Oryctolagus cuniculus: one gene and its partner. The protein of the gene in region 2 purifies or fractionates together with the protein of the main gene of each other region. This does not show direct contact. Links are inferred from orthologs where the notes say so. Each region holds a gene or a part of one and is shown on either strand. Other genes may lie near its edges. The genes, in order: FBXW11 and DEPTOR.

The links.
Region 1: the proteins of DEPTOR (region 2) and FBXW11 purify together in Homo sapiens (affinity purification with western blotting; 4 studies listed by BioGRID, with this or other methods). This does not show direct contact. The link is inferred for Oryctolagus cuniculus from reciprocal best matches to the Homo sapiens genes DEPTOR and FBXW11.

What each region holds. Positions count from the first base shown.
Region 1 is NC_091437.1:58,572,572-58,576,384, forward strand, and holds part of FBXW11 (F-box/WD repeat-containing protein 11), read right to left. Parts: intron 3,677-3,813; coding exon 3,427-3,676; intron 1-3,426.
Region 2 is NC_091437.1:145,637,083-145,641,646, reverse strand, and holds the start of DEPTOR (DEP domain-containing mTOR-interacting protein), read right to left. Parts: upstream 3,009-4,564; 5' UTR 2,938-3,008; coding exon 2,549-2,937; intron 1-2,548. UniProt on the Homo sapiens protein: Negative regulator of the mTORC1 and mTORC2 complexes: inhibits the protein kinase activity of MTOR, thereby inactivating both complexes. DEPTOR inhibits mTORC1 and mTORC2 to induce autophagy.

The DNA of each region.
Region 1 (3,813 bases), about 87 Mb from region 2:
GCTTCTGTGAATGACCCAAATATGTAATTATAAAATATGGCCTCTTCTAACTCAATATTGGAAGGCCGGGGGACAGACTGGACAGCATAAAATTTTTTTGGCTGTCTAGTGATAAAACTGGAATAAATATGAGGGAAGCTGCAAAGTCTCCAAACTTTGAGATCCTCACAAAGAGAATATCTACAAGATGGCTCAGACATTCATTTGCCTAACGCAAGGAGTTTGTGTCAGATTTTACATTTCTACGCCAGCTGACATATCACACCCAATGTAACTGATACAAAAAAAAGCTTTATCTTTCATACCCTCCTCTTTTTCAGCATAGGTCTATTTTTGATGTTTATTTTCATCTACTTGAAAGGCAGAAAAACAGAGAAAGACAGAAATAGACAGAGACAGGGAGGAATCTTCTATTCACTGATTCACTCCCCCAAATGCCTGCAAAAGCCAGAGATTGGCTGGAATGAAGCCAGGAGCTGGGGATTCTATCCAGCCCTCCCATGTGGGTGGAAGGGACCCAAGCACTTCAGTCATCTTCTGCTGCCTTCCGGATACACCAGAAGGAAGCTGGATCAGAAGAGTAGTAGCTGGGATGTAAACTGGCACTCAAGATATGAGACATGCATATTCAAAGTTACAGCTTACCCCACAGTGCTGCAATACCTGCCCCCAGCATAAGTTCTTAAATAGCTCCACTAGTTTTGAAACATCAATGCTAATATTATGTATGTGGATTAAATAATCCCCACTTTTCTGAAATCATGCTTATAGATCTATTTAATATATTTAATATATTAGGAAGCCAAATGCAGAGATATACGGCAACCTGAGAGGTGTGAATCATTTTACCAGCTGCATTTGTAGCCAAATGGGATAAATGAATATCCACATACAAAACAAGAGATAAATATCCACCTTATACCATATAAAATATGTAATTCAGAATGGATCAAAGACTTATATATAAGAGCCGAAACTACCCTTAAAACAAAACGGAGGAGTAAATCTTTGTGACACTAAATCAGGCAATGATTTCTTAGATGATAATAACAAAATAAAAATAATACAACAAAATTTAAAAATATAATTTGATGTCATCAATATTAAAATCATTAGCACATCAAAGAACAACATAAGAAAGTGAAAAGAGGGGTAGACATTTAGAGGACAAGTTAAGACACATTGTTTGGGATGCCCACATTCATTCCACAATGCCTGGGTTCAAGTCCTGGCTCTGCTTCTAATTCCAGCTTCCTGTTAATGTGCACCAAAGGAGAGAGCAGGTGATAACTCCTTGTGGGAGACATGGATTGAATTCCTGACTCCTGGTTTTGGCCTGGCCCGGCCCCACCTGTTGCAAGCATTTGGGAATTAATTAGTGGATATAAGATCTCTTTCTCTCTGTCTTTCAAACAAATAATTTTTAAAAAGAAAGTGAAGGGGCTGATGTTGTGGCACAGTGGGTTAAGCCACCACCTGCGAGGCCAGCATCCATATCAGAGCACCAGTTTGAGTCCTGGCTGTTCCAGTTCTGATCCAGCTCCTGCTAATGCACCTGGGAGAGTAGCAGAAGATGGTCCAGGTACTTGGCCCACTGCCATCCATGTGGGAGACTAGGACAGAGTTCTGGACTTCTGGCTGCAGCTCGGCCCAGCCCTGGATGTTGCTGTCATTTGGGAAATGAAATAGCATTGAAGATCTCTCTCTCTCTCACTCTGCCTTTTATATAAATAAAATAAATTTTTTAAAAAGTAAAAAAGACAACCCATAAAACAGGGTAAAATAATTTACAAATTATGTATCTGATAAGGGTCTTGTATCCAGAATACATAAAGAACACTTAAAACTCAGTGATAAAAAGACAAATTCCCTAATTTTTAAAATGGGCAACAGATTGAAACAGATATTTCTCTAAAGATGATATACAAATGGTCAATAAGCATATGAAAAGATACTGAATACCATCAGTTATTATAATCTGCAAAGCAAAACCAAAGATACTCTTTCTTGTACATCTATCAGGACAGATGTAATACAAAAGACAGGTAATAACAACTGTTGACAAGAATACGGAAAAACCTTCCAGCTGATATTACAAAACAGTTGTTTTTGCAATAAGGCCCAGACCCTGTTGACTTCAGGCACTGGTCTTGTACTCACTGCTGTGACTATGGAATAAATCAACACACAGAAATACTACGTGTTCAGTTTCCAGGCCACTTAAACCAAAGTTTGATACAATACAGTCCATGTTATGTGGAGCTAGGTATCAGAATACTGTCTAGAGCTTTTAACTGTCATTAAAAGACAGTTTTTTGAACAAGTTCAAACGCTTATATACCATTGGCATGTTTGCAAAACAGTAAGTTCATGTTGGAAAATAGTTTGGTAGTTCCCCAAAATATTAAACACAGAGTTACCATCACAAGAGAAATAAAAATACACAAACATGCAATAACTTATACATGTTTATAGTAGCACTATTCATAATAGTCAAAACCAAACTGAAACAACCACAAGCCACATGTATGATTCTAATTGTATAAAATATCTAAAACGGGCCTTTTCATAGAGACAGGTGTCAGGGTAGTGACTGCCAGGGACTGGAAGGGGCATGTGGGGATTCATTCATAATGGGTATGATGCTTCTTAAGATAAAAATCTTCCAGAACTAGATTGGGGTAATTTTAAACAACACTTCAGATAAACTAAAAGGTCACTGAATTATAGACTTCAAAATAATGAATCTTATGATATGGAAATTACATCTCAGTAAAGTTGTCATAAATACAGAAGAAAGCTAGAATTTTAAAAAGTTTTCATGGACACTGGAATCAGAATTGCAATGACCATATCTTGTGGACCATCCCAGGCTACAACTTCTCGTCCTATTTCTGCCTTCACATACACACCACAGGCTGAGCTTCCTGAAAGCATGGACAGGTCAGGCTCACCAAATCTCCAATATCCAGCCCAGGGTCAATGGCAAGGCAAGCTATCTAAGTTAAGTGAATAAAACAAGATTTGCTACTAGCTGTGTGACCTTCAACAGAGTTCTTCCCTCACCCTCTGAGCCATGGCTATGAATCAGAGGCAACACCTAAATAACAAAAAGTACGAGGATGGTTAAGTGAGATGTGACATAAAGCCCCTAGCACACAATGTGTGCTCAATGGTGTGGTTCTCTTCCTCTTGGAAATTATCAACAATGTCATTTCGTGAAATGGAAAACTATTATTCTCTTTTCTGGATCGATGACTTCCTCCTACCTTGCCTGACACTAAAAGTATGTGGAATGGGAAGGCTGCACAGGTTCATGAACATTAAAGAAGAATAAACACCTTGCCATGTACTGACCTGTCTCCACTCTCTCTCTGGTCCATAAGAGACAGAAGCAGGCAGGGCTATGATTAAAGACTCACTTACTTTGATGGTCCTGTCACCAGAGGCAGACACGATGTATTTATCATCAAAGTCTACTACATTGACAGCAGCACGGTGGCCAACCAGGACACGGCGTAGAGTGATGTCGGTGGCCGAAGCCATGTCCCACACGGCAATGGAGCGGTCCTTAGAACAGGTCACCATGAGTCCATTGCTGAAGCGTAAGTGCAGTACAGCCTCATTGTGGTGGATCAATGTGTTGAGAACTTCACCTGTGTTCACATCCCAGACTCTAAATGAAAAGAGAAATGCATGCTGCTCAATTACTGAGAAAGCCAAGAAAAGACTCTGTCCTCTAAACTGAGTCCACTCTTTTTTCTGTTTGTTTCTTTTTTTCTGAGAGACAGACAGGAAGCTCCCATTCACTTG
Region 2 (4,564 bases):
TCTGAAGAGCGTGCAGGAGCCCAAGCATTTGGGCGACTTCTACTGTTTTCTCAGGTCATATCAGAGAGCTGGATCAGAAGAGGAGCAGCTGGGACTCGAACCGGCATCCACATGGGATACCAGTGGTGCAGGTAGAGGCTTAGTCTACTATGCCACAGTGCCAGCCCCTACCCACCCCACTATTCTTAATTCAACAACTTGCCCAAGGTCCCACTCTAGTGAGGAGCAAAGTGGGGATCCACTTCCCAAAACAATGTAATGCTGACACTTGGCTGCTGTGGCTGAGCAGGAACTAATCCCAGGTTTACTTTCTGAGTAAAATAGCCTTCCAGCTTTTTCCAATATGGGCTTCAAACCTCTCACCGTCCAGAGAGCTACAAGCAGAGAGGGGAGTGCAAGTGTTCTGGGCCCCTGAAGACAGGCCATTTAAGCTGCACCTTGAAGGAGAACTTGCTTGCTGGGCAAACAGAGCTACCTCACAATTTGGTACTTGTAAAGGAAGTAAAACAGAAGTAACCCTATCCAATGGAGGCCTTGCAAAAGGTTGATACAGTAAGGAAGAGCAAAGAAACTATTAAAAAGAAAGTGTTTCAGGGCAGGTATTTGGCCTAGTGCTTCAGACACCTGCATCTCAGATACATCCAAGGTCTGGGTTCAAGGACCAGCTCCACCCCCTATATTCCAGCGTCTCACTAATGCACACCCTGGCAGGCTGCAGGTGACGGCTCAAGTAGCTGGGTCTCTGCCACCCACGTGGGAAGCCTGGATTGGTTTCAGCCTGGCCTAGCCCCAGACACTGCAGGTATCTGGGGAGTGAACCAATGGAGGGGGACTTCCTCCTTCTATCCCTGTTTCTCTGCCTGTAGAATTAATTAAAATATTTCAAATTAAATCAGGAAAGTTTTATTTTAATTTTTAAATTAGGAAATGCTCTTGATGAAAGAAAACAAGTTCCCAATTCCCTTTCATTCTGACCACACATTTAAAAAACTAACAAGGGGGCCGGCGCCGTGGCTCAATAGGCTAATCCTCCGCCTTGCGGCGCCGGCACACCGGGTTCTAGTCCCGGTCGGGGCGCCGGATTCTGTCCCGGTTGCCCCTCTTCCAGGCCAGCTCTCTGCTTGGCCAGGGAGTGCAGTGGAGGATGGCCCAGGTGCTTGGGCCCTGCACCCCATGGGAGACCAGGAAAAGCACCTGGCTCCTGGCTCCTGCCATCGGATCAGCGCGGTGCGCCGGCTGCAGCGGCGGCCATTGGAGGGTGAACCAACGGCAAAAGGAAGACCTTTCTCTCTCTGTCTCTCTCTCTCACTGTCCACTCTGCCTGTCAAAAAAAAAAAAAAAAAAAAAAAAAAAAAAAAAAAAACAACTAACAAGGAATAGAAATGCGCCATTTGCCTTTTTGTAGCGTTAAACTCAATGAATTTTGAGTTCCAATGTTTACTTCCTCAAAGTTACTGCAGCAAGCTGGGTGGTTATGGATCCTGCAGGGCCCTTTGCAAGATTCTCCTTCAGGTCCGGGAACACTGCCATAGCAGAAACCAGAAATGGACTGGGAAAGTTCAAGCCAGGAACTAGAAGGAACTGGGGCGTATGTGTTCTGGCAGGACTAGGGGCCCGCATGCAACTTTTTAGCTAAAGCACTGCGAATCTGGATTTTTTTTTTCCCTTTCTTGGTAAATTGATTTATGACCACACGAAGGGCAGCTGTGGAACCAGCCAGACCATAAGCAAAATCCTTAAACATACGGCCAAGCAGAATGACCAGAAAGGGCCGCGGATGGCATGGGGGGAATCTGAGGGGTATTGCACGCCGAGACCTGGCAAGTCTTCAGGCTGGCGACCCAGAGCCACCACGGACTCCACTGCCCCAGTGCCTGAAACGCGCGCGCTGGGGAGTCGGCACCGCAGCGGGGCAACCGGACAAGGGGCCTCCACGCCCCCTTGCGGCCCCACAGGACGCGCCAACTGGGTGACAGGAACAGGGTTCCAGAACTGTTCTCCGACTGCAGCCCCAGCCCTCGACCTAAGGCAGGCGTGGTGATCGGCCCCATTTCACAGGTGAAGCAACCAAGACTCAGGGCAGAGAAGGAGAACGTGCCGGCGAGACGAGAAACCGGAATGAAGCGGACCAGTGGAGTACAGAGGCTGGGTTCGGCTCGCGGCCCCGCACCGACCGCCCTTGCGCCCTGGGCAGACTCGGCGCAGGCTGTCAGCCCAAAGGCTCCGCAGCACCCAGGTGCCTGGCAAAGGACAGCGCGCGGCGCGTGGCGGCGAGGCTGCCCCGCGTGGGACTGCAGCAGCCGGGCTAGGGCGCCGCGCGCACCATTCGCTCCCCGCGTCAGCCCCCTCCGCAGCCCCACGCTAGTCGCGAGTCCGCAGGACTGCAGCAGCCCGGCGCGGGCGCAGCGCGGACCGTCCACGCGCCCGGGCGTCCGGCGCCCCGCGCGAGCCGCGCGAGCCACGAGCCCCGGCGCGCGTGCGCTCGGGTCTGCAGCGGGCACGGGCTGGCAATGCCACCGCGAGCCCACGGGCTCTGCCCTCGCCTTACCGTAGCTGCTCCCCGGTGACCAGGACCTCAGCCATGCGCTCCAGCTCCCTTTGCTGCACCCCGCCACTCCCGCTGGTGCTGCTGTCGCTGCCAGCGCTGCCAGCGCTGCTAGCGCTGCCGCCCCCCTCCATGCTCCGGGCCGCGCCGCTTCCACTGCTAAGGCTGTCCGGCGTGGGCTCTGCTGATCGGATCAGTTTGCCCTCACGGAGGCCTTGCCCGCCATCTTTGTTCGGGGCAGAACCGTTGCTCAGACGGGATTGGCTGGAGAGGGAATCCCAGTGGGTAGGCTCAGGCGCCCGGCGAGTCCAGCCCCTGGAACTCCAGTTTGGGGGCGTGTCCAGAACCCCGCGTGGTCCGGGGGCGGGGCCGAAGGAGGAAAATATAAACATCTGGGCGGGGCGCTGCTTGTGAGCTGTGGGTGCAGGTGGAGGTTGCTTCACGTGAGCCCCCTTTTCTTTATCCACGAAGCTCGTGCCGTGGAAACCTGAGGACAAGCCGGGAAGCTACTAAGCAAGGGTGCAGGCGATCCTGTTTTCCTTTCCATACCAGTTGCTACCGAGTAAAAAGAGTAACAGCATGCATATTCCCAGTGACCGGGGAAGGTAGGATGTGTGTGTCGCTGCAGGGCATGGAGGGATTGAACATTCTCGTGCCAACCCGCTTCACCAAAGCGGACTTTCCTTACAGGTGTACTTGATAAAGAACTCTGGGAATCATACAGACCTGAGTTCCAGTCCACTTCTCTAATCTCCTACTGAGCGTGCTTTATTTCTTGATTACAAAATCAAAATAATTGTGGCTACCACCTGTTGACACCTGCTGCAATAGAATGCATCAGACCCGTCGTTGCCTTGTTTAATCATTGGGAAAAGTCACAAACTGACTAGACGTGGATGTTCGTGTTAACTCAGCTGCGGCAGGTGAGGTCGCCTGTCTAGGGTAAACGGGTAATAAGGGCCATTTTAGCTTCAGAATCGTGTTAAAACGCTGCCTCTTAAAAGGGTCTATAATGGTATTGTCCACCTTTAAGAAAGCATGGAAGGAACTGTGCCTAGTGCCAAATAAATGTGCTGTATTTCTATTTCAGGCAGATTCCAAGCCTGGGCAGGAAGGCCAGCTGTTCATGTTGAGGTAGTGAAGAGCTATCTGTGCATTGACATTTTATGCAGCTTGTGGCAGTTTTTGCATATATGAAAGCCTCAGTACCCTAACTACAGATTAGTGTGAAGCTATTTTGAAAAAACAATGCATAATCCCTCAATTGCAGCTATGTAGGCGTTTACAGAATAAACATGAAGGTAAAAGGAATGATGAAAACAATTTTCTGTGCATATTCTGTACCAATTTTGCTATTTAAGACTATACTATCTTGCAGGTTTGCTATGCTGCACTACTCTTTTCTCATTGTTTTCAAGGAAGATCATGCTAGCCTTTTCCAATATTCAACAAAACTATCCTTCAACTTAAAATTCTTGGTAATTTCTTGAGTATTCTGTGCTTTACATGATGCTGAACCTTTGGCTTATATTGTTTGGTTTGGCCTGTTAGTATTTTTGTGTCCAAGCTACGAGTGAGAAAACATAAGGATAAAAAGGTGAGATGCCTTAATTTCACACCCAGAAAGCCAGGCAGGCCTTGCATCCTGGTTCTCAGATCCCCAGGGCCTGCTTAGCCACATTTCAGAAAGAGAACAGTTGTCCAACTCTCTCGTATGTTCAGCAGTTGTATTAGAGTTTGCCAGAAGAAATGGTCTGCTCCTTAACCTTTTTTAAATTGACCACGTTGGAAATGTTGACCAAAAGAGACTTACTTCCGGGTGAATGTGATTCTAAGAGTCTCATTCTACGTAAAAGATAGCAATCATTCCTCAGAAGTGGAAGTCACAGAGCCTGTTGTTCATGTTTTAATTCTATAATATAGAATGGGAAATAGGAACCTGTTTGCTTATTATATTGTCTTAACCTTTCGCTTGACATATGAGACACACTGTGATCCACTGGGTAGGAAGACCAACCC